Linked DNA regions of Notamacropus eugenii. The protein of the gene in region 3 interacts with the protein of the main gene of each other region in a biochemical or structural test. Links are inferred from orthologs where the notes say so. Each region holds a gene or a part of one and is shown on either strand. Other genes may lie near its edges. The genes, in order: IRF1, IRF8, SPI1 and MECP2.

Region 1 (8,011 bases), on a different chromosome or scaffold from region 3:
GTTTTAAATGCCATTAGTCTCCTCTTGTGTGGCAAAATGCCTGCTGCTGATTCTCTTCCATCTGAGATTTACAAAGCAAGGGGTTCACTGCTCATATAAATGCTGACTGAACTCTTCCAGGTTAAATGGTAAGAGGAAGTTATCCCCTCCCCACCAGAAACTCAAGGATGCTTCCACTATCCATCTCTATAAAGGAAAAGGAAATAGGTCATCCTGTGACAATCATAGGGGAGTCTCTCTCTTAGTCATTTCTGGCAAGATTCTTACCAGAGTCCTCCTTAATAGGCTGATCCTTCACCTGGAAGATGGTCATATACCCAAAAGTCAGTGTGACTTCAGAAAGGGCTGAGGAACAGTCCATAGGGTGTACGCTGCCTGACAACTCCAGCAGAAAAGCTAGGACATAGCTGTACATAGTGTATGTCTATATGACCAACGCCTTTGATACTGTCAGTCATGAGGGCATGGGGAAGATCATGGCAAAATTTGGTTTCCCAAAGAAGTTCAGCAGTATTTACACGAGTTTCATGATAGCATGCCTGCATGGGTTCTGTATAATGGACAATCCTCTCCCACTTTCCCAGTCACCAGTGGAATAAAGCAGGACTATGTGCTTGTTCCCATGCTTTTTCATTTTCAATGATATCAGCACTTTCAACGAAGACTAAAACGTAAGGAGAGTTGGTGCATGATTTTTTATTTGCAGATGACTGTGTACTCAATGCAGCCTCTGAAGCTGAGATGCAACAGAGTATGGCTTGATTCTATGCAGCATGTGCCAGTTTGGGCCTGACAATTAACACCAACAAGTTTCTCTACCAGCCAGCACAACACCATCTATATGTAGAACCATTATGTACCAAATGTACATTCTGTACATTATGTACAGAAATTTTGACTGCTGTGGATAAGTTCATTTCCCTTCACAGTATGCTTTCTAGAGATGTACACATAGATGATGAGGTTGACACACATACTGCCAGTGCTCAGTGCTGGAGAGGCTCTGAAGGAAAATGCGAGAGAAAAGAATTAGGTTTCCTGGAAATCCAAAGGTCTACAAAACTGTTGTGCTGACCTCATTGTTGTATATCTCTGAAACCTGGACAGTATGCCAGTGCCATGCCAGGAAACTGAATAACTTCCATTTGAATTAGGAAGATTCTCAAGATCACCTGGCAGGACAAGGTACCCAATACTGAGGTCCTTTCTTGAACTGAACTGCCAAGCATTCAAACTCTACTGCAGAGGACAACTCTGATGGGCTGTCCATGTTGTCTGAATGCCAAACATTGGTTTTCCTAAAAGACTATTTCACAAAGAATTCACACAAGGTCATAAGAAGCAATACAAGGCCACCCTCAAAGTCTCTTTGAAGAACTTTGGACTTTATTATGAGACATGGGAGACACTAGAATATAGGACCACCCAGCATGGAGTGCCCTCATCAAATAAGGTGCTGCACTCTATGAGCAAAGCAGAATTGCAATAACTCAAAGGAAATATACTTGTGCAAATTTGGAGACATCTCCACTCCAAATATTCATATGAACTATTTGTACCCAACCTCTGGTAGAGCCTTGCAAGCTCTTACTTGTCTGATCGGCCACAGTCAGACGTATGGTACCTTGACTCTGACATAGTGATGTCATTTTGATTCTCTTTGAGCATGAAGGAAAACAATCAACCAGGACCGGATACCATTGATCTACTCTCTCCCCTCCCATTTTACAGATGAGGAAATTGAGGCCCAGAGAGGTTAAATTACTTGCCAAAAGTTATGCAGGGTACAAATAACAGAACTGGGACTCAAATACAATCTGACTTGGGTCCATGACTTGAAATACAGTCCTCTTTCAAATCAGGAATTTGCTGGTAACAATTGGTTGGGCTGAGGAGAAAAGGGGCAGGAAATACATACAGGACTCACTTTTAAGTTTAATCTACATTTTCTAACTCTAGACAATCAACAAAACAATAAAACAAGCCCTAATTTGTAGTGTTGGAAATGCTCATACTGAAATTTTAACAATAGGCTCTCACTAGACCTGTTGGAGCTAATTCCAGAACATCCTTTGTTTTCACCACACCAGACAGGTGAGAGAGACCACACAGACCTGGCTTTAATAATGCTGGCTCAGTGAAGTAAAAACGTGCTGCAAAGGAAGGACAAAACTGATAGAGTGATACATGGAAAAGGGGGAAAATATCTATTTCTGGCCACAAATTGTAACAGTCTGGAGGAACAATGAGGGACAGATAAGTTAAGTCTCTGGGACTAACTATTAATCAGCAGCAAATCCTCGGGAGTTTGAAGGGCTTAGGTTAGCTGGGGTCATCTGAATGCAAGGTCAAACTCAAGGTATCAGGAAGTCAAATACCACAGAGATTAATTGTGTGACAGCAACATCATTGGCCTGAAATTTGATCCAGGTTAATGGGTTATAACTTGGCTCAATTACTAGTCCCTCTGAGGTGACACCAAGTAATAAAAAAGAGAAGCCTTGGTTCCTCCTCATCCAGTCTCATCTCATAGGAACATAGATATAGAATTGGAAAGAAACTTTGGGGCTATCTAGTCCAACTCTTTCATTTTACAGATGAGAAAACTGAGACCTACAGAGCTGAAGTGACTTCCTGAAGATCACAATAGTGGTTACAGAGGTAGGATTTGAATGTACATCTTCTGACACCAAATCCAGTGCCCTTTTCCACTGTACCACACTAAGATCCACTCGTGGATATCCAGGCACCTGAAGCCCTCCAGTATACTCTCCATGCCATACATATCTTTGTATACACATGCTTCAATCTTTTCTTTTTTACCTCTGAAGTTACAAGAGCTTTCTCCCTCTGGGGATGGCCCCTAGGGCCAACACAGTACATCTTCAGGTCTGTTAGAGGCTTATGCTTCTCCCCTTGACAAAGGATCTACAAGGGAGGCTGTTCCACAATTTCATTCAACATTCAACAAGCACAGTGCTAAGTGCTGGGTACCCAAAGACAAAAATGAAACAATCCCTACCCCTCTGTTGGAGGAAAATAATATATACTGAGATAAAGAATTATAAAATATATGTAAAATAAATATACAGTAATTTGAGTGAGGCAGGAAGGACCACTTGAACTGAGGATTAAGGGAAGAAATTGTCAGGTACAGGGGTACACCTGGGCAGGGACAAGGAGGGAAGGGTAATGGAACGCTGTGTGCTAGGAACAACAAGAAGACCAGTTTAGCTGAGAAGCAGAGGGTATGAAGGAGATTGATGGGCAGTAAGTTTGGAAAAAGGTAAGGTTGGAGATAGAATGTGAAGTGTTTGAAATATCAAAAGGAGAAATCAACCCCCTGCTGTCTCCGAGACACACTTTACTCAGTCAGGGGGCTGATTATGAGTTTCCTCATTCAAGTGTGAGCTCCTTGAGAGTAGGAACTGTCTTTTGCCCCTTTTTTACCCCGATCATTTAGCACAGTGTTTGGCACGTACTGTGAACAGGTAGGTGGCTCAGTGGATAGAGCCTAGGCCTGGAATCAGGAAGACTCATCCTCCTGAGGTGAAATCTGGCCTCAGACACTTACTAGCTGTGTGACACCAGGCAAATCACGTAAGCCTGTTTGCCTCAGTTTCTTCTGTAAAATGAGCTGGGGAAGGAAATGGCAAACCACTTTAGTATCTTTACCAAGAAAACCTCAAATGGGATCAAGAAAAGTTGAACACAGCAGCAAGTGGCACATGGTAGGTGCTTAATAAATGTTTATTGATTGATCTCTGGTGCTTATCACAGTGTCCAGCACACTGTAAGCATATAATAAATGTTTATTGACTGAATGGAAGTTGGAAGGAGTGCTAAAGGAGAAAGATGGGGGAGGGGAATCTGACATCTCCCTCAAACAGATTACTGTTTTACTCTGGATTTGTACTGAACTGCAAAGTGGATTCATCCTGCTTCCGCCTCTCCAACACCCACATCACTAGGGATGGAGGAGTTCAGTACACTGAAGCCGATTCTATAGCTGAGAGACATTGTGATGGAGAACAGGCTGCCTGTAGAGTTCACATCTAGTGTTCTGCGATTCACGGAAACGCCTTCCTCACAACAATCTGTAATATAGGCAGGGTAACAACACCAGGACTGAAGTTTTGTACTTTCAAGTTTAATTTGATTGATTGATAGACAGACAAACATAGATCGATCGATCTGCCATCCAACTCTAACACTATATGGAATCAGGGGGCAAGGTGAGAAGTAGAAACTCCTGGTACAATGGCTTCTGTGGCCCCTGAAGGTGGCAGATACCACATTCCAGAGAAAGGTGAGTCTCTGGCACCCTCCCCCTGGGGCAACACCCCTGACTGCTGTCTCACCTTGGTCGGGAAAGTGCTGAGAAAAGATGACAAGAGAATTGTGTAGAAGTGCAGGATTCCAAAGTCTGGGGTGAAAATGAAGAATGCTGAGCAGGGTTTTCCTGGGGGCCTCTCGCCACCTTTTCCCTAAGGGCAGGCAGCTGGAAGCTCGCATCCCTGAGGGTGTCTCTCTCCCGGGCACGCCAGACTGCCTGTTGGGGGTGTGTCCGTAGCCCGCGGAGGCGGTGAGAGGGGGAGAGAGGGAGGAAGGCAGAGAGAGATGTAGCAAGCGAGCTGGGGAGGGAAAGAGGAGCTGGACTTCCCCCCTAGCCTCTAGCGCTACAACGGCCTGATTTCCCCGAAATGATGCTCTCTGCTCAGCCAATCAGCGGCGGCGCGGCTCCTCATTGGGCGGGGACCGGCTCTGCCCAGAGCGGGGGAATCCCGCTCAATGTTTAGTCTTCGCGGCCGGCTCCAGGACCGAGGCTCAGAGCGAAAGGCGCCGTCCAAGAGGTAGGAGGCCGAGAGCGAGACCGGAGCAGAATCCGTGCCACCGACTCTGCTGACTCTCCGCGGCCGGGCACCCCTGGAGCAGGGCCGGCGGGCTCCCAGATTACCCTTCGCCGCCTGAAGCCCCTGGAGCTGTCCCGCGGGAGGCGACAGCGGGCCCAGAGCTAGGCGGGCGAACACTGGGGACCAGGCGAGCTCCAGCTTTCCGAGCCAGACTTCTGCAGCGGCGGCGTGGGCCCCTGACCCAGGTAACCGGGGCCTCGAGCTCGCGATCTTCTCTGGGAGAGCTGGGCCTCAGCCCGACCGTGTCCGCAGCCCCATCCCTCCTCCCTCGCCCCTGGAAGGAGCGCTGGGACAGAAAGTAGCAGATCGGTGGAGGTCTGTGGCTGGGGGCTGACCCGTTGGGGAGGGGGAGGGGCGCGCTCCCAGCTAGGCGCCCCTGTCATTGCCTCTGCTCGAGCCTCGGGCGTCTCTTTCCGCACACCAGGAAGTAAAGACCATTAAAAAAAAAAAGACAGGAGAGCAGAGCCGGGGTCCGCGCTGCCGCAGAGCCGAGTTGTAACGTGTGGTCGGGGCTGCTGTGGATGCACCGTGCTCGCAGGGCTGGGTGCCGAGCCGGGCTGGGTGCTGAGCCGGGCTGGGTGCCGAGCCGCGCAGGGGGCTGAGCCGGGCTGGGTGCCGAGCCGCGCAGGGGGCTGAGCCGGGCTGGGTGCTGAGCCGCGCTGGGTGCCGAGCCGGGCTGGGTGCTGAGCCGGGCTGGGTGCCGAGCCGGGCTGGGGGCTGAGCCCCGAGCCGGGCTGGGTGCCGAGCCGCGCAGGGGGCTGAGCCGGGCTGGGGGCTGAGCCCCGAGCCGGGCTGGGTGCCGAGCCGCGCAGGGGGCTGAGCCGGGCTGGGGGCTGAGCCGGGCTGGGTGCTGAGCCGCGCTGGGTGCCGAGCCGGGCTGGGTGCCGAGCCGGGCTGGGTGCTGAGCCGCGCTGGGTGCCGAGCCGGGCTGGGTGCTGAGCCGGGCTGGGTGCCGAGCCGCGCAGGGGGCTGAGCCGGGCTGGGTGCCGAGCCGCGCAGGGGGCTGAGCCGGGCTGGGTGCCGAGCCGCGCAGGGGGCTGAGCCGGGCTGGGGGCTGAGCCCCGAGCCGGGCTGGGTGCTGAGCCGCGCTGGGTGCCGAGCCGCGCTGCTGCTCGCCTCTGCTCTGCCTGAGGAGCTTGGCCTTGGGAGGGCGTTTGAGGACAAGCAGCCCGGAGGGAGGGGGTGCTAGCTGCCCACGGAGAGGAAAGGCCGGGACGCGCTGACCCTCCCTCCACCCAACCATTTCCCTTCCCAAGTCCTCAGGCCAGAAAGCCTTGGGCTTTTGGTCCCTGATCCTGGGATCATTTGGCCCCGGCCGAAGAGTGGTGATATCTGGCCGCTTCTCAGAGCAGACGCCGCTGTGAAACTACCCAACCCCAGGAGCACTGGGTCATTACCCCAGGGCACCCAGAGGGTATTAGGAACCACTGGGAGCCTGTGTTGCACGTGCCCCCAAGAGGCCAACCGAGGGCCCGCCTGCCCATCCCCCTGATTCTGGGAAGAATGGCCCAGTTGCTGACTAGTCTACAACTTTCAGAAAACCCAGCTCAAAGCCACCTGTCCCCGCGAAGCAAGTGTATAGGCTCAAACTCCCGTGACCCCATGCCAGGACGCTGGGGGCACATTGTCCTTGCAGGGAAAGGTCTGGGGGACTAGTTGCTCGACGAACTGTAGCCCCAAAACAGCCGTGGGAGGGGCTTCCTGGAGGAAGCAGGGAAGGTTAATTCGCTGGGAGGCCGAGCTCCTCCTTAGAACAGGGGGGGTGTGGGGGGATAGGGGTTGCAGAGACTGGATAGTTAACGCTCTGCAGGATGGCAGGCAGATCAAGAAAGCTGCTTTTTGAGCAGTTGCAGCAGTTTAGTAAATGTTGAAGTCTTCCCTCTCAAAATAGGGAGGAAAATCTCTGGCTGCCCAAAGTGATTAGTTTGGTTAATAACACAGTGGAGAGAGGGTGGACTGTTCATCTCTGTGCTGATAATTCATAGCTGGAGATACTTTTCTTGGCAACAGGTGGCCTAGAAAATGAAGGCCCCGCCTTTACAAAGAATTTTCTATCAGTGAAAAAAGACAGGCTGGGCATTTGAACATAAAAGTGGCTCTTAATCTCGTGTTCTACAAAATTCTCAATTTATTTCCTGCCCTTCTTTGGCTCACATGCCTTTGGGCTGTTTGTGAGAAGGGAAGAACTTAGAACTAGAAATGTTTGTGCACTGTGTTAAGGATGCCCTCTTGCCTTAACTGTCTTCACTATGCATGCATCAGCCTTGTAGCTGCATATGTGTCTCCCTGTGTTTGTGGGATGGAGGTGGATGCGTAGAGCAGTTATTTCCTTCAGCACTTAAACCTCAGCCTTTCTCTTGGCTTCACAGACAACATGCCCATTGCCAGAATGCGCATGAGACCCTGGCTAGAGATGCAGATTAATTCCAACCAAATCCCAGGCCTGACCTGGATTAACAAGGTGAGAGCCCCACCTGGTTTTTTTTCATGTTTTATGAACTAAAGATCCAAATGGAACTGGGAGAGGAAAGAGTTTAGGAGGCAGAAGAATGTGCTTTTCCAGGCCCGATTGTGTATGGAGTATGCTATAAGTGTGCAAGGCACTTTTCTTGACTTTTAGGACGCAAGGGCACTCCCATCTCCCCTGTTTTAGCAGACAAGACCCACGTCTATGAGTAACCAACAACTTCCAATGGTGCCCATTTCCAGCGTTCTGAGCTCCTCAAACTGGCCTTAGCCACTGCAGAATCCCATCCTTGATGCCAGAGATAGACAAAGAACACTTTCTGACTGAGAGTTATAAGGAATAAACAGCCAGCCAGAAGTGATTCTACCTTTAGGACCAGGAATGAGCCTTTAATCAGTTACTTAGCTCTTTCCTAATGCAGGAGAATAATAATAACTTGTATATTCCTTTCTGGACCTGTGATGAAATTCCCTCTACAACACAAGTCAGCAATTGGTGCAGTTTACATAATCTTTAATTTAAGGGAGCTTCCTGGGACATTAGGGGATTACAAGATCTAGTCAGGATCTCACAACCAGAGGGAATACTTGCACATAGATTGTCCTGGGTTCCCTCCCACCTGTATCTATCC
Region 2 (7,432 bases), on a different chromosome or scaffold from region 3:
GTTCAGTTGTATTCATTTCTTAGTCCCATCTGGGGTTTTCTTGGCAAAGACACTGGAGTGGTTTGCTGTTTCCTTCTCCAGCTCATTTTACAGATGAGGAAACTGAGGCAGGGAGAAGTTAAGTAACTTGTTCAAGGTCACACAACTAGTAAGTAGCAAGATTGAAATTCAGGTTTTCTTGACTATTTGCCCAATGTTCTATCCACCACACCTAGCTGGCCACCAAAATAGAAAAAACCCAGGAAGTCAGAGAGAACCCCAAGTCCTTCCATGTTTCTCAGTCTCCACTGCTCTAATATGGGTATATATATGTACATATATACATATATATACTTATATAAAACAAGAACATCACATTAGAGGGCTTCTCACTATTCAGTGACAAATTGATTCAGACAGATGATAGATAAATAGATAGATAGATAGATAGATAGATAGATAGATAGATAGATAGATAGACAGACAGATAAATAGACAGACAGATATAAAAATTTGATTCTCACAACAAATCAGAAGATACATAGGGAAGCTGGCTTTGTCCCCATTTTACAGATGAAGAACGTGAGTCTCCAAGATGGATTAGCAGCAAAGCCAACACTCAAACTCAGATCTTTGGATTGTAAGCTCATTCACTTGCATTCCAGGGCATCACATCCCTAATATCATGGTTTTCTTCAAGAACAGAAGACAAACAACAGTGACAGGTAGGAGAAGAAAGACTCCAGGTTCACAGGACTTAGAACTGGGAGAGACCTTGGAGATCACCTACTTCTAATCTAATCTTTAGAAGGGGAAACTGAAACCCAGAAAAATTGAGCAAATTATCAACATCACTCAGCTGGAAGCTAGCAGAGTTAAGATTCAAATACTGGGGACAAAGTGCATAGAGCACCGCCTCTGAAGTCAGGAGGACCTGAGTTCAAATCCAGCCTCAGACACTTACTAGCTGTCTGACCTTGGGCAAGTTACTTAGCCCTGATTGCCTCCAAAAGAATATTCAAATATAGGTCTTCTGTTTCTAAATCTACTAGTCCACTATGCAGACATACATAGATAAGAGCCTGAGAGATATCCATCAATATGCACCCCTAACAATTGAGGGAAACCTGCAGACTTCTGCTTGACTTCTGTGTTATGCTGGGATTCTGAGAAGGCATCTGAAACAACTATGTCTAGCTCGATTGCTCTTTTCTATTTTCTATTGCTACTTTCTCAAGGACACTCTCAATCTCTTCCCACTGCTACAGTCAAAGCCTCTATCTCTTTTCCCACTGCTAGAATCGTTCCGCCTTGTCCTCTTCCTAGGATATTAAATAAAAATTTTAAACCAATTACCCTTTCTCCTTCCCCTGTTATTAAATTCAGTTTCTCCTCTCTTCAGCCATCTGCCAGAAAAAAACATAAATTAAATCTATCCCTTATTCTCTCAGGTCAGTTTCCTCTCCTCCCACATCAACTATCCTTGCAACTCAGCTCCTAAACAGCTAAAGCAGGCTGGCAGCAGCCACTAGGATTTTTGCCATACAGATCTCTTCCACAACTGAACCAGATCCTGAAAAAAGCATTTCAAAATCTCTTTTAAGCCAAAACTAAGGACATAAAAATAGAAACATGATCAGCTCAGAGCTGCTTGGGAAATCCCTCAAAGTCATGAGCCTTCTCACAGCCTTCTCTCCTAGACATTTTGTTCCAAGTCAATGCTGAATAACCCTCCCTTTCAAAAAAAAAAAAAAAAAAGATCTCTTATGGCTGCCCATTCACTATACAACAAGATCCAACTTCTTTATCCTGGCCTTCAAGACCCTCTGGGATCTGTTTCCAGCCTGATCCCCTTCTCCTTTATATAAACCTTACCTCTCCACTTGCATTGCCCTCTTCCCTGTTCCCTCAAAATAGAAACCCTCATGTTTTCCAGTCTTTGCTTAGGCTGTTGAATCCAAATAAAATGCCCTTTCTCCTTCCTGCCTATTTAAACCAAACTCATTTTTCAGGACTCATCACCTAAGCACTCCAGCCTGAAGTGATGTTACCCTCTCCCAAACTACTATCGCATTACTGTTTTACCCCAAAGAGGTCATTGACAAGAAGAAAACATTCATATACATCAGCATATGTATAGCAACACTTTTGCGGTTGCAAAAAAATGGAAAGAAAGTAGGTGCCCATCAATTAGGTAATGGCTAACCATATCATGTTACATGAATGTAATGGAATATATTAATGCGCTGTAAAAAACTGACAGATTATATCAGATTGCATATCATCTTGGGGAGGGGAAAGGAGAGGGAGAAAATTTAAAACTTATGAAAGTGAATGTTGAAAACTAAAAATAAATTTATTTTTAAAAATTGGCTGAGTGGGTAGAGTGTCAGACCTGGAGTCAGGAAGACTCAACTTCATGAGTTCAAATCCGACCTCAGACACTTATTAGCTATGTAACCCTGAAACAGTCACTTCATCCTGTTTGCCTCAGTTTCCTCATTTGTAAAATGAGGAAAGGGAAAACCACTCCAGAATTTGCCAATAAAACCCCAAATGGGGTCAGGGAGAGTCAGCCAGGACTGAAAAAGTACTCAACAATAAGAAATCACAAATATGATGAATATAGAGAAGCATGATGAGACAGGGTAAAGTAATAAATATTTACTAAGTGATGACTATATGCCAGATACTATACTATGTGCAGGGGCTACAAATATAAGCAAGAAGAAAACAGTTCCTGTCCTCAAATAGCTTACATTCTAACGGAGAAAGATAACACAGAAAATGGAGCTGAAAACGGCAGATTTCAGGGTGAGATTGAATCTGAGGCATGGAGTTAAAGTCTGAAGAGCCAGAAGGACAGCTGGAAGGGGAATGCAGATTGGGCAGACTGGGACTGTCCGCAAAACGGAGGTCTCTGGAGGAACTCACCAATGAGGTAAAGGATGGATGATGTTGGTGAGAAGACTTCAAGAGCGGATGGATATTCCAGAGGGAGAAGACCCCATGCAACGAGCAAAGTTCCATGCTAAGGCAAGTACCATGACTTAGAAGTACAGCCAGGAGGGTCATGGGAAGACTTCCGAGAAGTTATGTAGAGTGAAGTTAAGTGGAGCCAAGAAAATAATAAGTGAAACAATTACAACAACGTCTATGGAAACAGCAACAATGACAGACCAGCCGAAAGTGAATGTTGCAAAATTACAAAGAACAAGCATGGACACAAAAAAGAGATATGAGAAGACACACCCTCCCACTCCTCTGCAGAGGTGCAAGGTCCAAAGATCCAGAATATTATGTGCATTTCAAGACTTTTTCAATCTAGTGATTGGTTTTACTTGTTATTTCCCTTTTATTCTTCTTTTTTTTAATTTAAAAAATTATTCATGATATGAGACAGCTCTCTGGGAAGAGGGAGAAGAAGGGATAAACAGAAAGAAATTTGGGCAATATAAAATAGAAGAGTTATCCTAAGAACTTACTTTAAAACTAAAAGCTAAACCCTTATATCATTAACTCTATGTACCATTCATTTGGCAGCTATTTTATTGGCTTTTCAAACAGGACTGGTATTCTCTCCCTCCTCATCTTCAACCTTCTGGTTTCCTGACTTCTTTCAAGTTGGGCCCAAATCCCACCTTCTTCAAGAAACCTTTTCTGAGAAAGACACAGAGAGTAATCACAGCTGTGAATATCAATGGCATGAATTCTCCCATAAAACAGAAACAGATAGCAGAGTGGATTAAGAAACATAATTCTATACAATATGTTGTTTAAAAGAACCACATTTGAAGCAAAAGGAAATATGTAGAGTAAAAATAAAAGGCTGAGGCAGAATATATTATGCCCTAGCTGAAGTAAAAAAAAAAAAACCAGCAACAGGGGTAGCAATACTGACATTAAATTGAAAACTTTTTGCACACACAAAGCCAGTGCAACCAAGATCAGGAGGGAAGTAGGATGCTGGGAAACAATTTTTACAACCAGTGTCTCTCGTAAAAGCCTCATTTCTAAAATATAGAGAGAACTGAGTCAAATTTATAAAAATACAATTCATTCCCCAACTGATAAATGGTCAAAGAATAAGAACAGGCCGTTTTCAGAGGAAGAAATTAAAGCTGTCTATAGTCATATGAAAAAAATGCTCTAAATCTCTGTTGATTAGAGAGATGCAAATCAAAAGGATTCTGAGGTACCACACTATACCTATCAGATTACAGTCTCTAGTAGTGGAGGGGGTACCAACACTGTAAAAGTCATCAATCTCTTGAAAATTGTCATTGTTCAGTAGTTTTTAGTCATATATGACTCTTTGTGTTGGGGTTTTCTTGGCAAAGATACTGGATTTGCCATTTTTATGATTGTAATCTCTCCATGGCTTAGTAGATGGTCTTTATGATCCGTTGTCCCCCTTCCCACCCCCAAATCAACCAGTGGCCAAGGTCCTGGTAATGAGTTTCTTTTTGCTTAGCTAGGCTTGTCCTTAAAGGACAACATCATAGCTGGTCCCATAAAATTAGATGCTAGCATTTTGCACATGGTGGGATGCTTGCTGAATTGAATTAAATTGAATTGAATTGAGAAAAATGAAGGCACTATGACCATCAAGCATATATTCAAAATACTTTACATCAATAAGTGGTACCTCTAACCTCTTTAATTACCATGATCCCAGCTTGAACTCCAGAAAGTAATGCTGCAAGCCTGGTGGGAAAAATACTTCTACGTTGTTTTAACGAAGTTGTGACCCAATTAACCCTCAGAGGTCTTATTCCCGAGACAAATTAAAGTGATTTAAACAAATTTTATTATTATCTGGTACAAATCCTTTAGTCTAAGGATGAGGAAACTGAGGCCAAGAAATACAACAATAATAGTCGACATTTATATGGAGCTTTCATATTTATGAAGGATTATTTTCTTCACAGTAATCCATGAGTTGGGGAGTTCAGGCATTCTTACCTGAGGTTTACCAATGAGAAAACAGAGGCTTCAACTAAGATGAAATGACTTATACTCAATGAGTAAGCAGCACAGCCTAGATCATATGATCAAATTAAAGATGTATACTACTATGCCCTGCCTTTACTACCTCTGTTCTTTAGGGTAATCTGCAGTATTTATTTATCCTCATTACAATTATCTTTCTTATAAATAAATGTCAGTTACTTAAATATGCATATATTTTACTATGTCTTTTCATTTTTTTAATTTCTTTTTTTTTCATTTTTTTTAATTTCGAAAGAAAATCTCAACAGGAGCAACAGCTAGCCTTGACCCAGAACTAAGCACAACACTTCAGCTGTGGTCTGATCAGCCTCCCACTAAGCAATCCAGTCTCTTGTGCTGAACACTGCATCTCTCTTGGTTAACCTAAGAGTTCACTTACTCTTTTGGCTACCATGGCACATTCATATTACATATGTTCTAGAGGCACATTAAAAGGCAAGAATCAGGGGAAGCTGGGAGCCATCTCTTATTCCTCTCCCCAAGAGCCTACGCCTCATCTATGCCTGAACCTCTCTGTAAGCCTTAGAAACTGCTTCCAATCCAGCTTATCTTTCTTGTCTCTATTTCATAGAACTTGGAGTATAAGATTCTATATTTGAAATAGAGAATCTCCCATATGTGGTCACCCATCCTCTTCTCAAGCACCTTTGATAAGGAAGAACTCACTTCCTCAAGAAGCATTGTTCATTTTTAGGTAGCTCTGATAATTAGAATGTTCTATTAACCTATAACTTGTGCCCATGGGTCCCAGTTTTCCTTCCCATTGGAATACGTGGAACAAAAGCATTCTCACCATCATCATCATAACTAGCATTTATAAGCTGTTTTAAGTTTTGAGACATTTTGCATACCTCATTTGATCCTTAAAATAATGTTGGGAGGTAGGTGCTATTATTATCATCCCCATTTTACAGGTGATGAAACTAAGGCTGAGAGAAGTTAAATGACTTACCCAGAGTGGCACATCTAGTAAGGTCTTAAATCAGGATTCAAACTCTAGTCTTGCTAACTCTAAGTCTATCACTCTATCCACTATACCACCAAGCTGGCCTTCCCTCTATCAGTCATCCCTTCATTCATTCACATGACACATGGTCAGATCTTTGAATAGTGTGATTATGTCCCATCTAAGACTTCTCATCCTTCACTTTCATTTTTTCAGTGAATTATCATATGCTAACCTCCCCATCTTCCTGATCAAACTCTCCAAAGAAGGCTCTAGCTTTCCAGGGTCTCTTACCCTCATCTGCCCTTTCTTTGTCTAGTCCAGGGATGGGGACCCTTCACCCTTGAAGTCACATATGGCCTAGGTCCTTGGGTGCAGCCTTTTGACTGAGTCCAACTTTTACAGAATAAATTCTTTTACGAGGTGGATTTGTTCTGTCAAGCTTGGATTCAGTCAAAGGGCCACACTTGAGAATCGAGAGGTCCACACGTGGCCTTGAGGCTGCAGCTTCCCCAACCCTGGTCTGTCTAATTGATATAGAAGATTAGCTGTGACATTATTGGCACTGTGTCCTCAGAACCCTCTGTAATCCAACTCTCTTCATGCAGTGAACCATTAAATCACTGAGGACTGATTGATTGCCTAAACAATAATCCCCTAAAGTTTCCGTTCTTTCGTGTTTTTTCCCTCCTTTTCTATTCCTAAGAATACTAAAGGGAATCTTGGGAACGCGAGGAGAGACAACACATTCTGAGACTCTAGCTTCTGCAGAAAAATCCTCTGTCCTGTATCTTAGGGACTTTCAAGCCATAGACCACTATTGTACATTCACCCTGAATGTTGTAAGGTCAATGTGGGATATAAGCATGAGTGGAGAACTCTATACATGACTTAAAGTGGAAGCTATGTACTTAATATGTGTTAGAACCTTGGGACATCTTTCTCCATCCTTGAAAAACTTTAATAGAAGAGATAACTATCTTTTCCTCAGCAAGAGGAAATACTTAAAATGTAAATAACTAGCAAAAGTAACACAGTCAGTTAATACATATTTATTAAGCACCTACTGTGTTCTAAAGGCAGCTAGGTGACACAGTGGATAGAGCACTGACCCCACAGTCAGGAGGACCTGAGTTCAAATCCAGCCTCAGACATTTCCTAGTTGTGTAACCCTGGGCGTCACTTAAACTCAGTTTCCTCATCTGCCTAAAGAGTTGGAGAAGAAAATGGCAAACCACTCCAGTGTCTTTGCCAAGAAAACCTCAAATGGGGTCATGAACAGTTGGACATAACTGAAATTATTCAAAAATAAAATGTACCAGGCATTGTGCTAAGGACAGGGGATACAGTGAAAGACAAAATACAATTCTTATTCTCAAGGAGATTACAGTCTAATGGAGGAGACTGAACAGTGACAAATTCATACTTCAGGATTAAAATTCTTTCTAACATCGAAGTCCATATTTCAGAAGACCCATTACTTTATCCATACAT
Region 3 (6,984 bases):
CACCCTCTCCTGTATTCTCTTTCCCTATCCATCTGCAAGGTGAGGAACTATGACATGAGGGTGCTTCCCAAAGCAGAGTTTAAGTGTGTGTGAGTACAGGACTAGGGGTCCCGTAGAGTCAGAGATCCAAAGACCTTCATACAGATCGGGGTATGGGATGAGGTCACCAGCTATCATGGCCTTAGGGGAATTCTAAAAGGAGCCTAGAGAATCCAGAACTGAAGCACATGTGGCAGAGGTCAGAAGTAGGTGCCTGCTCCTTAGGGGAACAATGGTATCTCCTCCTTGGGTTCAAATCTCCTGCCCCCAGATACTTCAGAGCTGTGTGACCCTGGGAAAATTCACTGAACGTCCCTGTGCCTCAGTTTCCTCCAATGTAAATTGAAGAGTCTAATTTGATACCTCTCAGGTCCCTTCCAGCCCTTCTTTCCCACTCCACTCCCCTTGTTCCCCTCATTCTGGATCCCCATTATGTGGTGTCTTCTCCCATTAGAAGATAAGCTGCTTGAGGGAAGGAACAGGCTTGCTTGTGTTTGTATCTCAAAGCTTACTACAATGCCTTGATTTACAATAAATGATTCATTAATATTCTATCTGTCTGTCTATCTAATCTATCTATCTATCTACGTATCTATCTATGTATCTATCTATCATCTATCTATCATCTATCTATCTACCTACCTGGCTATTTGTCTGTCTGCCTACCTATGCTTGCCTCTACCTCTCTTCCCCTCCCCTCAGCCCTCACTCCTCTCCTCCCTTCCCACTGGTTCTCATGAGGTCTCACAGTCACTCACCTGTCCTCCCCCTTCACACACAGTTAAGTTCACTCTGCCTTCAGGCACCCCCACCTACTTCCAAAGAAAGTATTTGAGGGAGAACATCCACCCTCTCTCACTCCCCTCCCCTCACACCCACACACGTTGTCACACGCCTTGATCACTCCCAGATCCACTCCTCATCCTCACGATCACAGACCTCCCCCCCCTCACCTCGTCCCAGGTCCACTCCTCACCAAATGACACACGCTAGTCTTCTCCTTCAGAACCTGGCCTAGGTATTAGCTCCCAAGGCTGAGAGCTTAAATTGACTTGTCCATTTCCATCACACAGATGGAGATGAGTAAGTCCCTTCTCTGGGCCTCAGTTTCCTCATCTGTAAAATGAGGGAGTGGAACTCTGTGACTCTTAAGGTCCCTTCCAGCTCGAAAGTTGTGCTCCTGTTTTCTCTGAACTAAACCAGATGTGACTTAGGGCTGGGTAGGCCTGGCCCTCAGGCCCTCCCTGCCTGTTCTTCTCCCATGTAGATCTACCCCATGAGAAGCCAGGGTTCCCCCTTTATTCACAAAGACAGGTAATGGTGAAAGCACTAGTAACCCAGGCTTGGGAACCAAAGCAGTTTTGGGGGCAGCCACAGGAACAATGTGGCCTGGAAGAGGCGTCCCAAATGCTCAGTATCCTCCCAATCCCCTGGGAGAAATCCCCCTCCCTAGCTGAGAACCCCTCAGATTCTAGGTTGTGGAGAAAAGCAAGAGATCCCAAGAAGCTGGGGGGGTGAGGTGGGTCAGGACTGAGTTATCTGGAGATTAAGGGCTGAAGTGACATGGGAGCAGAAGGGGAATGGGGGAAGGCCTCTGTGCCAAAGAGTCCCTGAAATCAACAGCTTGGGAAAACGGAGGCTCTTTAAGGGTTGCCACTGAGCCAGAGCCTGAGTCTCTAAGCCTGGCGGCAGTGTTTGGGGTGGGGTGGAATGAGAACCCAGGCGATCCTGTCTTCCGCCCCACCATATCTCAGACCAAGGAAACCTCAGAGCCCAGATCTCCAAAGGGAAGGAGACAGGGTACCAGAATGCTCCGGCTGGATGAGATGACTGGGGGTTAGCCCTGGCTTGGCCTCAGCTCTAGGGAAAGCTCAGACTCCCAAGATCTGCCTATAGGCGCCACCCTGAGTAGGAGCTTAGCCAGCCCAAGTCAAGTGAAGACCGGCTGGGCTGAGCCTAGCAAAATGCCTCCACCACTTCTCTCATTCTCGGAGTGGTTGGAAGGAAAATGAAGACCCATTGAGAGGGTTCCTCTACTTGGTGATATGCCCCAACGGGAGGGCAGGGGAGCATGGTAAGGGTCTGTCTTCCAATCCCTTCCTCCCCCATCCCATTCCACAGCTGACCCCCACCCTGGGCTTCCCTGAGAGCCCATACCCACGTCAGCCTGCTTGTCTTGGGGACCAGTCTGTCTTTGACCTCCCTGAGCACCTACTTTCCCCACCAGCCTCCTGGAATCATAGTGCCTCACCGTAGGGCCAATTAGCCCATCCCCTGCCCCAAAGCTTTGGGTACTTGCCACCTGTTTCTACTTCTACCCCAAAGGGTGCCCCTTTGCCCCTCTCCCTCAGCCTGACTCTCTCTTCCATTCCCTTCTTTCTGGTCAAAGTTGCGAGGAGCTCCTGTTTCACCCATCCACATGCATCCCCCGACTCAGGCCCTGGATGCCCCACCCTCTGTAGTCTTTGCCTCTCCATCCTGTGCTCGGTCTAGTCTTGGTGCCAAGCCCACACAGCTCCAGGTTGGAAATAAGCAGGCAGGGGCCCTTAGCTCACAGACCCCACCACTATCCAGCCCTCAGCACCCACTGGCCTCCATTCGTTCCACCCTCAGTCCCTAAGCAAACCTTCCGACCGTCACTCCATTACCCCTGTCCCAATTGTTTCATCCAGGGCCCCCGGGGAGGAAACACCAGCTTCCCACTGATTAGAAACCAGAGGGGGCTGGAAGAGGAGGGGGAGGGAGCCCCCATACTCACAGGGGACACGAGAGGGAATCCTTCCATCTTGCACGCCTGTAACATCCACCCGATCTCAGGGCCCGTCAGCTCCCCTGCCTCAGCAGGGCCCACTCCGGAGCCCCTGGGCATTGGGAGCCACAGGGTCGGAGCTGGTGGGGCTGGGGGTGGGAGGCGGGCACCCAGAGGGGGCGGGTAGGGTGGTTTTCGAAGGAGCCTCAGTCCTGCCCCTTGGCCTGGCTGATCCCGACGTGAGCCCCCTCCCTTGACATTGCAAAGCAGCCCAAGTTCCTGATTTTATCGAAGGGCCTGTAGCTGGGAGATAGTCCCCCCCAGGGTGACATCACCACCCTAGCGGGTTTGCATAAATCTCTTGCGCTACCGGAAGTCTCTGGCTGGCCCCTGAGGCAGGTGGCAGGAGGAGACCAGCCTGGGAAGGCCACCAGGCCAGAGCCCCCAGCTCAGAGGAAGCAGGCAGCCCTCTGGGGGCTGGGGGGAAGCCTGAAAGGGGACGGTGGGTTCAGGAAGGGGAGGAGAGGGCTGAGGCCAGGCCTGGGAGACCTGGACCTTTCCCCACCAAAGGCCTGCTGGGGCCTGGTGTCCTCCCAGGCAGGCAGTGGCAATGGCTGGTATCACCATGGCTCCCTGGAGCAAAATGACCCTCAGGTCCCCTGTGATATCTCCTTAAAGTGACCTCAACCTGATTCCCATGTGGCAAGCACTGTTTTCATTTAGTTTTGTAGTCTAAAGTTCCTCCTGATTTTAATACTCCATGTTCCATGTTCTAAGGACCTTCCCTGTCCCTGACATGCTATGTTCCTAAGTCCAGTTCTGATGCTCTATGTTCTAAACTTCCCTGCTAAACTCTGATATTCTATGCTCGAAGGCCCCTGCCAGCTCTGACATCCTATGTTGTATGTGCTAAGGTTGCTTCCAGTTCTCATAGTCTGTGTTCTAAGGTACCTTCAAGCCCTAATGTTCTATATCCTGGGTCACCTGAAAGGTCATCTGAAAGAAGGTGTTAGCAGCTGGGCAACATGAGAAAGGTCAGCTGTGGAAGGGGGCTTTGGGGTGACTTTTGAAGGAAGTCATAGAATCGAAAAAGCAGTGGGGAGAAGACAGAATGTTCCAGACTTTGGGGCAAGGGTAGGGGCTAGAGAGGCAGCCACTACAAAAGGATAAAGATTGAAGAGGCAGAGTTATAGGTGACAAAAAGCAGGTGGGCCAGGGCCTTGGGAGAGTGCAGGGGATGGGAATGTGAGAAGGCTGGCAAGGTAAGGAGCCAGCTCTAAGTATCAGGGAGAGAGGAGGTGACTTTGATTGGATTGTGAAGGTAACGGTGAGGCCTCGGGGTCAAGCCAGCACTTCAGAAAAGTCACCTTGACATCTGAGTGGAGGATGGATTAGTATGGGGAAAGACCTGGAACAGGGAGACCTGGGTTCTAAGGCCCCTTGCAGACTAACAGGGGCAGGCCCCTTGAGGGCATCCCAAGAGGTTGGGAGAAGGCTGAGGAAGTAGGAACTTCACGGTGATGAGGGCTCCCGGGGCATGCTGCCCTTGGCCCCCCAGGCCCTTTCAAGGGGAAGCAGTAGTAGCTTCTCTGTGGAACGAGCCCCAGCCTAGGTCACAGGTATGTGGTGAATTACAGGCATCAGTGCCAGCTTTCTCCCTCATCCTATTTCTACCAACTTCCTTTTCCTCAACCCAGAGAACCTGAGCATCATGTATACCAACCTGAGCATCATATTCCATCCTTTCCATCAAAGTCCCTAGGGGCCCTGTTTCCAGACCAGCCCTAGAAACATCCCACTCCCCCAGTTCCATTCCATGACAGCCTTTCAATCAGTTCAGGGGGAACACTACCTAGAAACTTCCTTCCCTGTGATTCATTCTGTTGGCTTGAAAACTCTTTTAAGCTGGAGCCCAAGTAGCTGTTCTCCCTCTCTAGGTCTCATCATCTGCAAGATGAAGAGCTTGGAAGGGAAGATGTTTAAGGTCCGTCCCAGCTCTGACATCCTGTGTTTTAAGATCTCTCCCAGCTCTGACATTCTCTGTTCTAAGACCTCTCCCAGCCCTGACATTCTCTGTTCTAAGACCTCTCCCAGCCCTGACATTCTCTGTTCTAAGACCTCTCCCAGCCCTGACATCCTGTGTTTTAAGATCTCTCCCAGCTCTGACATTCTCTGTTCTAAGACCTCTCCCAGCTCTGACATTCTCTGTTCTAAGATCTCTCCCAGCCCTGACATTCTCTGTTCTAAGACCTCTCCCAGCCCTGACATTCTGTGTTCTAAGATCCCTCCCAGCTCTGACATTCTCTGTTCTAAGACCTCTCCCAGCTCTGACATTCTGTGTTCTAAGGTCCCTCCCAGCTCTGAAATCCTGTGTTCTAAGGTCCTCTCCAGTTCTAATATTCTCTGTCCTCTTCTCTAAGTCTTTTCCATTTCTAAGTCTTCTTATCTGCTGTACTGCAGATTACTTAATGCCAGTTCATTCATGCTGGAAGCACATTGTCCCTCCTCCGCTTCTCCAGGGGTCCCACTCCAAGCTCCCCTTCTCCATTAGCCTTTGAGTAGAAGGCCAGTGTCTTTCTCCTGGCTCCCTTGGCAAGACCCTCCTGAGTCAGGCTCACATTTAAGATCATAGGATCATGGGACAGGACCTCAGGAGACATCTAGGACAATTTCCTCATTTTAAGCTGAGGCCCAGATAATGTGATTTGCTTGAATATCAGAGGTGGACTTTGAGCCCAGGTCCTTTGACTCCAGTATGAGATGTTTAGGGGCAGAGGGTCAGGAGGAGAGGAGATTTAGCTCAGTATAGAAGAGCCCTGGCCTGAGAGTCAGAAGACGTGGGCTCTAGTCCTCATTTTGTCTCCACCCATCTGCAAGATCTTAGACAAATCTCTGCCCCCAGTAGTCCTCAGATTCCTCATCTATACAAGATGCTGACCTTTATGACCTCTAAGGTTCCTTTCGGATCTAAAAATCTATGATGAGCCTTGTGTCTGGCTCTGCTCTCTGTTCATCTGTCATGGGAGTGGGCCCCCAGATAAGAGCCATGCAAGAGTGGGAGGGATCAAGGGTGTGCGTGTGTGTGTGCATGTGTGTGGGCGCATGTGTGTGTGTGTACACATGTACATGAGTCGTGTGAGCTTGTCTGGATGAGCAGTGGTTTTTTCTTGTGGACCGTGCAGTCAGACAAGGGGAAAGAAACAAAATGTCTTTCTCATCATCAGAAAGCTTTTATTCAACATCCATTTGCACCTAGACTTTAGAGCCCATGTCCCAGGAGGTCCCAGCCTTGGAAGCCCAGCATCTAAGAACCTGCACCCAGTATTATGAGCAGCAGCCTAGCCTACCACAGGGAGTAGGGCACAGGACTTAGACACTGCAGACCTGGATCCCTTCTCCGACACAGTTGTCAGAGTAAGTCAGAGCTATTCCAAAGTGGGACGGGGTGCCTCGGGAGGTGAGGGCTGTCCTCTCCTTGGGGGATCTTTGAGTAGAGGCTGAATGGACATTTGTGACGCAGGTTCCAGTGACTGTTCATTTCTTGTATGGCTCAAACTAGATTGCTGCTGAGGCTCCTTCCAACTCCCAAATTCTGCAGCCTTTGATCACGGGCAGACATTTACTCTTTCAGAGCCTCAGTTTTCTTATCTGTAAAATGGCACAGTAATACTTGCCTAGTTCCACTTCTTTGGGTCACCCTGAATGAAGTATCTTATGAACCTTAAAGCACTTTAGAAATGTGACTTGGTGTCATTGTTTGTTAGGCACTGACCAGGGGCAAGACTTTCTGTTTGATGCTGGGTTTTCAAAGGTAAAGAACAAGGCAGCCCTGGCCTCCAAGAGCCTGATCTGGGTGGGAGATGGGGGCGGGCCATGTACACAAAGAAGAGATCCCAAAGAGAAGGATGATTGATTTAGAGTGTGGCCTTTTCATCCAAATGCTCCATTTTAGAGATCAGGAAACTGAGGTTCAGCAAGGTGACAATGACTGGCCCAGAGCTGCACAGCTATTGAATGCTGAGGCAGGAAAACCTTCTTGAACTGAAGTTAAGACACTCTTTCTTAGACACCCTGCCAGGTTGCCTGTCCAAAATATTATAAAGCAAGCCCAGAATTCCTCTTCACACACTCACACACACACACACACACACACACACACACACACACACATACAGAGTTAAATGAACTCACCTCTT
Region 4 (7,444 bases), on a different chromosome or scaffold from region 3:
AATCAGGAAGTGGCATTTCTCTGAGCTATCAGGACACTCAGAACTCTGATGTCTAATTTACACCACTAATTCAGTTAAATGTATTTTTCAAAGAAACCCCTCCCTAGATGAGGTTTATATTTATTCTATTTAAAGGACCAGGGGTGTGAAGAACAGATGACTGTCAAGGAGGTTGCTGCTCATGGATCTACTTTCTCCATTTCTTAAGTTAGACATACCTCTAACTTGTACAACAATGCCCACTTTGATATGTTTGTATGTATTTATCTACACTTATAAGCAGCATGGTCTAGTGGATAAAATACAAGCCCTAAAGTCAGGAAGCCCTGGGTTCAAGTCCTGCTCCTGACACATGCAGGCTGTGTGACCCTTGGCAAGTCACTTACCCTGTCAGTGGCACCGGCAACTCTCTAAGACTAGAAATTACAGACCACGTTTCCATACCAGGCGTTTCCCACAGAAATGAAACCACACATCCTAACCAAAAACAACAAAACAGTGGTTAGGCTACTTGTCGGCTTAGTATTGTAGAAAGAGTCTGGAGTTGGAGAAATTGAGTTCAAATCTCCTCCTTATGTGTCTGATCTTTTCAGCATTCTCATCCATAACATTAACTGATCTCTAAGGTCTCTTCTTCCAGCTTTTAAACCGACAGGATTGATAAAAAAACAAAACACCGAGAGCACAAGAAGAGTGACACTTTTACTTCTAGCTTGGTTTTTTGGTTTTGAAAGTTTCAAAAGGTTCACAGTATGAATTACTAGGCTTGCTTGACCAGGAATTAAGATCAGGGGTAAAAAACAAACAAAAAACCACCCTGTCTTTTTTTTGTTTTAACTGGGTCGTAGCATATTTTGAAAGACTAGGAATTTGATTTGTTGAATTTACCAGAACGTAGGGATCCAAATGAAAGCTTCACACTATGCCAGTACTATAGTTCTCATTGAGGGCATTAGCTGCCTTATAAATGTTTAATTTAATGAGCCATAGGGGCAAGGTTATATTTCATTTTCATAGCTTAACTAAATCCATAAATCTTATAAAGTTCCTCTGTTAGAAAGTCTAGGTCAGTATGCTTAAGACAGAGCAAGTTTAGTTCCACAGCCATAGCCCTCAGTTCTTACAGAACCCAGCTGTCTCACCCATGCATGCTACCAGTCACAAGGGGTGTGTATGGTTCAGCATAACCAATTTCCACTAGTAAAAATATACAAATAAAAAAAACTGTCTGCACACGTTCTATGGAACAAAAGTCAAGAATGTCTCCTTTGTAATGATGTATATTTGTTGTGAACAAGCTACACTCTTACATACCTAATCTTAAAAGCAGTTGACATATTAGGTGAAAGAAAAAAACTGGTTTGAATTTTATTTGCATTTTAGAGCAATTATTTTTCCTACAGTATCTGTATATATTAATTTCATAAATGGTCTCTGGGATGAGATAAATCTTTTCAGATTCTTCCCAATCTCCTTAAGTCTTCAGTGGAAAGCTGTACACTTTGTACTGAAACCTAAAACCAGGCCAAAGTCACCTAGTTTTGCTAAGAACTTGAAAGTTTACAATCAGTTGGGCCAAGTGTCACATATGAAGGTCTTGATTGCTACTTACACTTCGGAAATTTGAAATGAGTTTCAGTTTGGGGAGTCATTCAAAACTAAACTAGGAACAAAATAAAGATGAAAGAACTAAAGGTAGAGTACATCAGACTGAAGAAACCACTAAACCAGACACCCATTGTCCTGCCTGTGACTTTGCTCCAAATGAACAATTCGAACTCAGGGCTCCAGAGTATGGCCCATCACTTTTATGTAACTGGAAGATTTTGGGTGGTGGGGGAAGGATGTGAGGTGTGCATACCATACTCCAACAGCCACAAATTCAGACATCCCCCAAGATGATGAGAGGCACAACGTGAGGCTCTTCACCAAAGAGCCTCCTCGGCTGCAAGTATCAGAATTGGTGACACTTCCCGAACTGCTTCTATTAGAAAAGGCTGTGTGGGACAGAGGGGACACAATGTACACTCCTCCCTATGGGGTAGGCAGTAATTCCCATCTCCCTCTTCCTGCCACGGGGGAGGGGAGGAGGAGAACTGATAGTCCTGTGGGGACTGGCAAAGATGTTGGGGACGAAAAAAAAATAGGGAGTTAACAGGGCAGCAGAAGAGGCAAGAGGAGGGGAAGGAGAGGGAGGGAGGGAGGGAGATGGGGCTGCTGTGGCGCACTCTTTCGCCGGGGAGTAGGACTAGTACGCAGGCGCAGGAGGGGAGGGGCCAAAGTGGCGGGGGGGGAGGGGGAAAGTCAGAGAAATGGGGGAGAAATGGGGGGGGTGGGGAGAAAAAACAGAGGGGGGAAGGAAATAGGGGGATGGGGAGAAGAAATAGGGGGATAAGAGACAACGGGGGTGGGGGGAAGAGAAAAGAGGGGATGGGGAGGTGATGGGGGGAAGGGGAGGATGGATGGAGGAGCGAGCGCGCGACAGCGGGCGTGCACGAGTTCGAGCTGGGCAGGGAGGGGGCGGGCAGATAGGCCAGGCAGGAGCGCGCGGCCACGGCGCGAGAGCAGAGGACTGCGCGGCGCGGCACGGCGCTCGAGGCCCACCAGCAGCGGGCCGGAGCGCACGAGCGCCTAACCAGGGCCAAGCAAGCGGGTGGGAGGGCGTGCGCGCGCTGGGACGCGCGCCGGGAGGCCGGCCGCCGCGAGAGGCGGGGTGGCACCGACGGAGGGCCCCGGGCTCCAAGGAGGGGGGAGCAAGAGCGAGGGAGGGGGGAGGGAAGGAGGGACGCCATCCACCAGCCCGGCCCGGCTCGCCTCCCCGACCCCGTGGCCCCCGCCCGCGCTGCCTCCTCTCCGCGGAGGGGCCCCCGCCCGCGGCCACAGCGGCGCCACTCACAGTCTGTCCTCCTCGCCTCCTCCTCCTCCGCTCAGCGCGGCGGCGGCGGCCATTTTCCGAACGGCTTTTACCACAGGACTCTTGATGAGGAGGGTGCGCGCGCGCCGCCGACAACCTGGGAGCGCGCGCGCCGCTCCACGTCTCAGCCAGGCCACGCCCTCTCTATCCCTCTAGCTTCCCTCAGTTCCCTTACCCACCACTATCCCGTCCCTTCTTTCTGGGGCTGGGCGGCTCCACCCATGCTCCTTTGTGATTGGATGGTGGAGACGTCATTCTGAAAACTCGTGCATGATTGGCTACGGAATAAGCGAAGGAGGCTGGAGTCCTGATAGCAGCTCCATGAATTGGCGGAAGTTTCTGTCAATTATCGCCCAGGTGGAAGAGAGAGGAAGCCCTTTCTGACTGTTGATTGGATAATGGTAATTTAATGGGACTGCGCCAATTGGGCGTTCTTAGCTGTCGGTTCAGGAAAGTGGGCGTGGCAGGACATTTGGGATGGTCTAGCGGTTGAGATTTGAATATTAACGCTTTTAAGCATCCGCTCTGCTGTTTTCTCTGCTGAAGCATATTAGGATTATGCATTTGTCCCTTTTATAAACCGGCTAATGTCCACCAGTCACATACACACGTACTTGCACGTATAGCCGTCTGACACACACTTTAAACCCATTCATTTAAGTCTATCCGTACCTTTAGGGAAGGCAACCTCTAGAACAAGGATATGGCTTCAGGGTACCCTCCCCTTCCTCGGCCCCACTTCGCACCACTGCAGGTTCATATAAACGCGGCCAAAAGAAACAGGCCACATCAACTGCATTTATGCAGGAGGTGGGCTTTGGTCACAGGACCAGGATAGCATGCACAAAGACTCCTCTTTTCGACCTCAATGTTAGTGGGGCAACTAGCGGACAGAGCACTGAGTTTGGAGTCAGATGCTTCTTAGCTGTGTGACCTTGGGTAAGTCACTTAGTCTCATTTTCCTCATGTGTAGAGTGGGGATGATAACTATAGCACCGATCTCCCAAACTTGGTATGAGATAATTGTAAAGCCCTTAGCACAAGTGCCTGGTCTATACATAGTAAGTGCTACATAAACGTGAGCTGATACGACAGCCTTACACCATGGATCATATGGTATGTTTTTCTAGGATGCAGTTTCCACAGCCAATTTACACTTGCTTGCCAATGACATTCCCATACTGGCCGACTGATCACGATCTCTTTTCCCACACCTTCCCATCTTGGAACCCCTCGATCCTTTCAAAGCTCAGCTCAAGTTCCATTTCCTAATTAACAATAGCTTAGATTTCTATAGAGCTTTAAGGTTTGCAAAACACCACATATTTTTTCTCATTTGATTCTCACTGCATTTAACTATTATCTCAACTAGGCTAAGTGATTTGTCAGGGTCACACAACTAGTCAGGCAACATTTGAATGCAGGTCTTCCTGACTTCTGATAATATTTAATATAAATTTTGGACTTTAATAAGGGCCAAAGCTTGAATTAAGAAGAGTCTGGACCTTTGTTATCTTAAGTAAACTCAGAGAATGCCTTTTGGTGTCAGCAAAGCAGATGGGGCTGACAGTAATTTCCTTAGGAGACCCTTTTCCTGGCATCTTAGTGATAAGGAAAAACACAGATGTCTTGGGTTGTAATTTCAATTGAAACTTTCTTAAAGGTGCCCTTTCATGTGTCAGCAGGAGGCCTGCCATCAGAGTGGTGGGATTTTCTCCTTATCTTATGTCACAGAGACATATGTTACAGAGAGGAAGTTACACAGCTTGGGATCATAACTGACACTACTTTGTTAATTGTCTTACTAAATTTATGATTTGTTCAACTAAGAAAGTTCCTTTCTCACGGCAAAGTGTATTTAAGACAGACGATTTCTGTACCAGGTAGTCAGATTAACCTCTGACTCTGTAATGCTATGTAACTGTTATCTTTAATAGGGAATTGTTTAATTAATTAAATCATAAAATATATGCATTTACCCTGTTGCCTTTTCTCTACAGTTTTCAGGTCCACACTTCCCAAATTACACTGTATTTTACATTTGGTAACATCCATAGGAAATAGGCCATCCCTGGGCTTTCCCCCCCACGTTAAAAAATAATACTAGCGGGAACATTACAGGGCAGCTAGATGGTATCGTGGATAGCTTGGAGTTAGGAAAATCAGTAAGGAGATCACTGCTGATCCCTCCAATTCCAAATGGCATCTTATATTAGAAACAACCAAAGAGATATTTGTAGATGTCACCAGGGTGAAAATTTGTTTAGCTTGTCTATGCATACATGGTGTCCTCCAAAGTCTTAGTAAAATTTTAAGCTGTTGATACTGCACTAAGACTTTGGGGACTCTGTATTGTTACAACAGTTTGGTTGTTCTTTTTGTTTTTTTTCCCCACTGTGGAGTGAGGTGAGGGTAGAAGAGAAAATAAGTGCTTGATAATTTTTAAAAAGTATCTTGTATCTATTTTGAATATAACAAGAGGCAACATGGTGTAGAGGATGGAGAGCGAGCCTCAGAGCCAGAGACGCTTGACTTCAAGCCCCTGCTCTGACACATGATGGCTGTGTGACTGCCCCCCCCATGTGTCACATGACCTCTTAGTGTTCTAGAAAACTCTGTAATTTATTTGCAAAGAAAGTTCCAATCTGCATTGCTAGAAGGAGTTTCCTCACCCTGGAGTTACCTATACAGGTGGTTCTCAAACATTTTAGTCTCAGGCCCTCTTTACCCGCTTAAAAATTATTGAAGATGCTCCCAAAGAGCTTTTGTTTATGTGGGTTATTTCTGTTGTTATTTATGTTAGAAATTAAAGCACTTTAGTATGATGAAAAGATTTTGACCTTGCAGACCCCCTGAAAAGGACCTCCTAGAAGTTCCTGGACAACACTTAAAAACAACTGCCATATACCAATGAAATCACCAATATAGTCCCTTATTTCTTTGAATATACTTGTATTTGCTGGCTTCCCTCCCTAGGTTGTAAGCCCTTTGAGGGTAGGGGCTGTCTTTTGCCTTTCTTTGTATCCTCTTGGATTTTCACTGGGCCTGGCATATAGTGAATGATTAGTAAATGTTTATTGACTATCCAGTCCTGACTAAGGCAAAAGATGCCCTACCCTCTAGGAGCTCACAATTTAATGGGGGAGACAAGCAAACAAACCATATCTAAGATGAAAAAAGAAATAATCAAAAGAGAAGGCACTAAAATGAAAGAGGATCAAGAAAGGCTTTCTGTATCGCTGGACCTAAGAGTTCACAATTGGGAGAAAGGTGAAAGAAGACTGGAAAGGAAGGGATTACAGGTTAGGAGGGCTTTATAAGCCAGAGAGGAATTTCTGTTGGATCCAGGAGACACTGGAGTTTGTTGAGAAGTGACATGGTCAGACCTGTACTTTAGGCAGACAGACCCACCAACTGGCTATTGCAGTTGTCCAAGTGTGAGGTGATGAGGGTCTGCACCAGGGTGGTAGAAGTGGCAGAGAAGAAAAGGGGATGGATGTTAGGTAAGTAAAATAAAAAGGTTTTGGCAACAGATTGGAGGGAGGGAGACAGAGACAGAGAGAGACACACAGAGACAGAGAGATGGAGGAGTCAGAGACACAGAGAGAGACAGAGACAGAGAGAGTAGGGTGAGAGAGACAGAGACAGATATAGAGAAACAGAGACAGAGAGAACGAAGGTGGAAAGAGAGACAGAGAGAGAGAGAGATTTGGGGTCAGACTTATGGAAGTGACTGTCATTGAACTCATACAATCTTTGCACTTATTTCTTTTTTCCCCCAGATGTTTTATTACCTTATTTTTGTTTTTAATTTCATATAAATTTTTTTGTTACATTTTAAGTTCTGAATTGTCTCCTTCCCTCTCCACCCCAAACTAGAGGACACCATTTAACTAAGATGTATATGTAAAACCATACTATTCATGCTTCTATTAGTTCTTTCTGTGGAGGTGGATAGCATTTTCCTTCATAGGCCCTTTAGAGTTGATTTGAGTATATATAATACTCAGAACAACTTAGTCCTTCATAGTTGTTCTTCAAATAATGTTGCTGTTACTGTATACAACATTCTCTGGTTCTGTTCATTTTACCCTTCATTATTTCATGCATGTCTTTCCATGTTTTCTAAAATCAACCTGCTCATTATTTCTTTAAAAAAATTTTTTAGCAAATAGTATTTCATTTTTTCCAATTACATATGAAAAGTTTTCAACATTCATTTTGTATAAGATTGTGAGTTCCAAATTTTTCTCCCTCCCTACCATCTCCCCTTCCCAAGATGCCAAGCAGTCTGATATAGGTTATACATGTGCAATCATGTTAAACATATTTCCACATTAGTCATGTTGTAAAAAAAGAAACAGAAGAAAAGGGAAAAGCCATGAAAAACAGTGCAAATAGTCTGCTTCGATCTGCATTCAGACTCCATAGTTCTTTTTCTGGATGTTGATAACATTTTCTATCACAAGTCTTTTGGAATTGTCTTGGATCATTATGTTGCTGAGAACTAAGTCTATCTATCATAGTTGA

Evidence for each region.
Region 1: the proteins of SPI1 (region 3) and IRF1 form a complex in vitro, tested with the Homo sapiens proteins (2 studies listed by BioGRID). The link is inferred for Notamacropus eugenii from reciprocal best matches to the Homo sapiens genes SPI1 and IRF1.
Region 2: the proteins of SPI1 (region 3) and IRF8 form a complex in vitro, tested with the Homo sapiens proteins (3 studies listed by BioGRID). The link is inferred for Notamacropus eugenii from reciprocal best matches to the Homo sapiens genes SPI1 and IRF8.
Region 4: the proteins of SPI1 (region 3) and MECP2 form a complex in vitro, tested with the Homo sapiens proteins (2 studies listed by BioGRID). The link is inferred for Notamacropus eugenii from reciprocal best matches to the Homo sapiens genes SPI1 and MECP2.

Annotation. Positions count from the first base shown.
Region 1 is NC_092872.1:344,799,652-344,807,662, forward strand, and holds the start of IRF1 (interferon regulatory factor 1), read left to right. Parts: upstream 1-4,958; 5' UTR 4,959-5,098; intron 5,099-7,282; 5' UTR 7,283-7,287; coding exon 7,288-7,374; intron 7,375-8,011. UniProt on the Homo sapiens protein: Transcriptional regulator which displays a remarkable functional diversity in the regulation of cellular responses.
Region 2 is NC_092872.1:700,494,205-700,501,636, reverse strand, and holds the start of IRF8 (interferon regulatory factor 8), read right to left. Parts: upstream 3,025-7,432; 5' UTR 2,914-3,024; intron 1-2,913. UniProt on the Homo sapiens protein: Transcription factor that specifically binds to the upstream regulatory region of type I interferon (IFN) and IFN-inducible MHC class I genes (the interferon consensus sequence (ICS)). Can both act as a transcriptional activator or repressor.
Region 3 is NC_092877.1:3,612,837-3,619,820, reverse strand, and holds the start of SPI1 (transcription factor PU.1), read right to left. Parts: upstream 3,063-6,984; 5' UTR 2,909-3,062; coding exon 2,798-2,908; intron 1-2,797. UniProt on the Homo sapiens protein: Pioneer transcription factor, which controls hematopoietic cell fate by decompacting stem cell heterochromatin and allowing other transcription factors to enter otherwise inaccessible genomic sites.
Region 4 is NC_092879.1:23,083,937-23,091,380, forward strand, and holds the start of MECP2 (methyl-CpG-binding protein 2), read right to left. Parts: upstream 3,023-7,444; 5' UTR 2,950-3,022; coding exon 2,897-2,949; intron 1-2,896. UniProt on the Homo sapiens protein: Chromosomal protein that binds to methylated DNA. It can bind specifically to a single methyl-CpG pair. It is not influenced by sequences flanking the methyl-CpGs.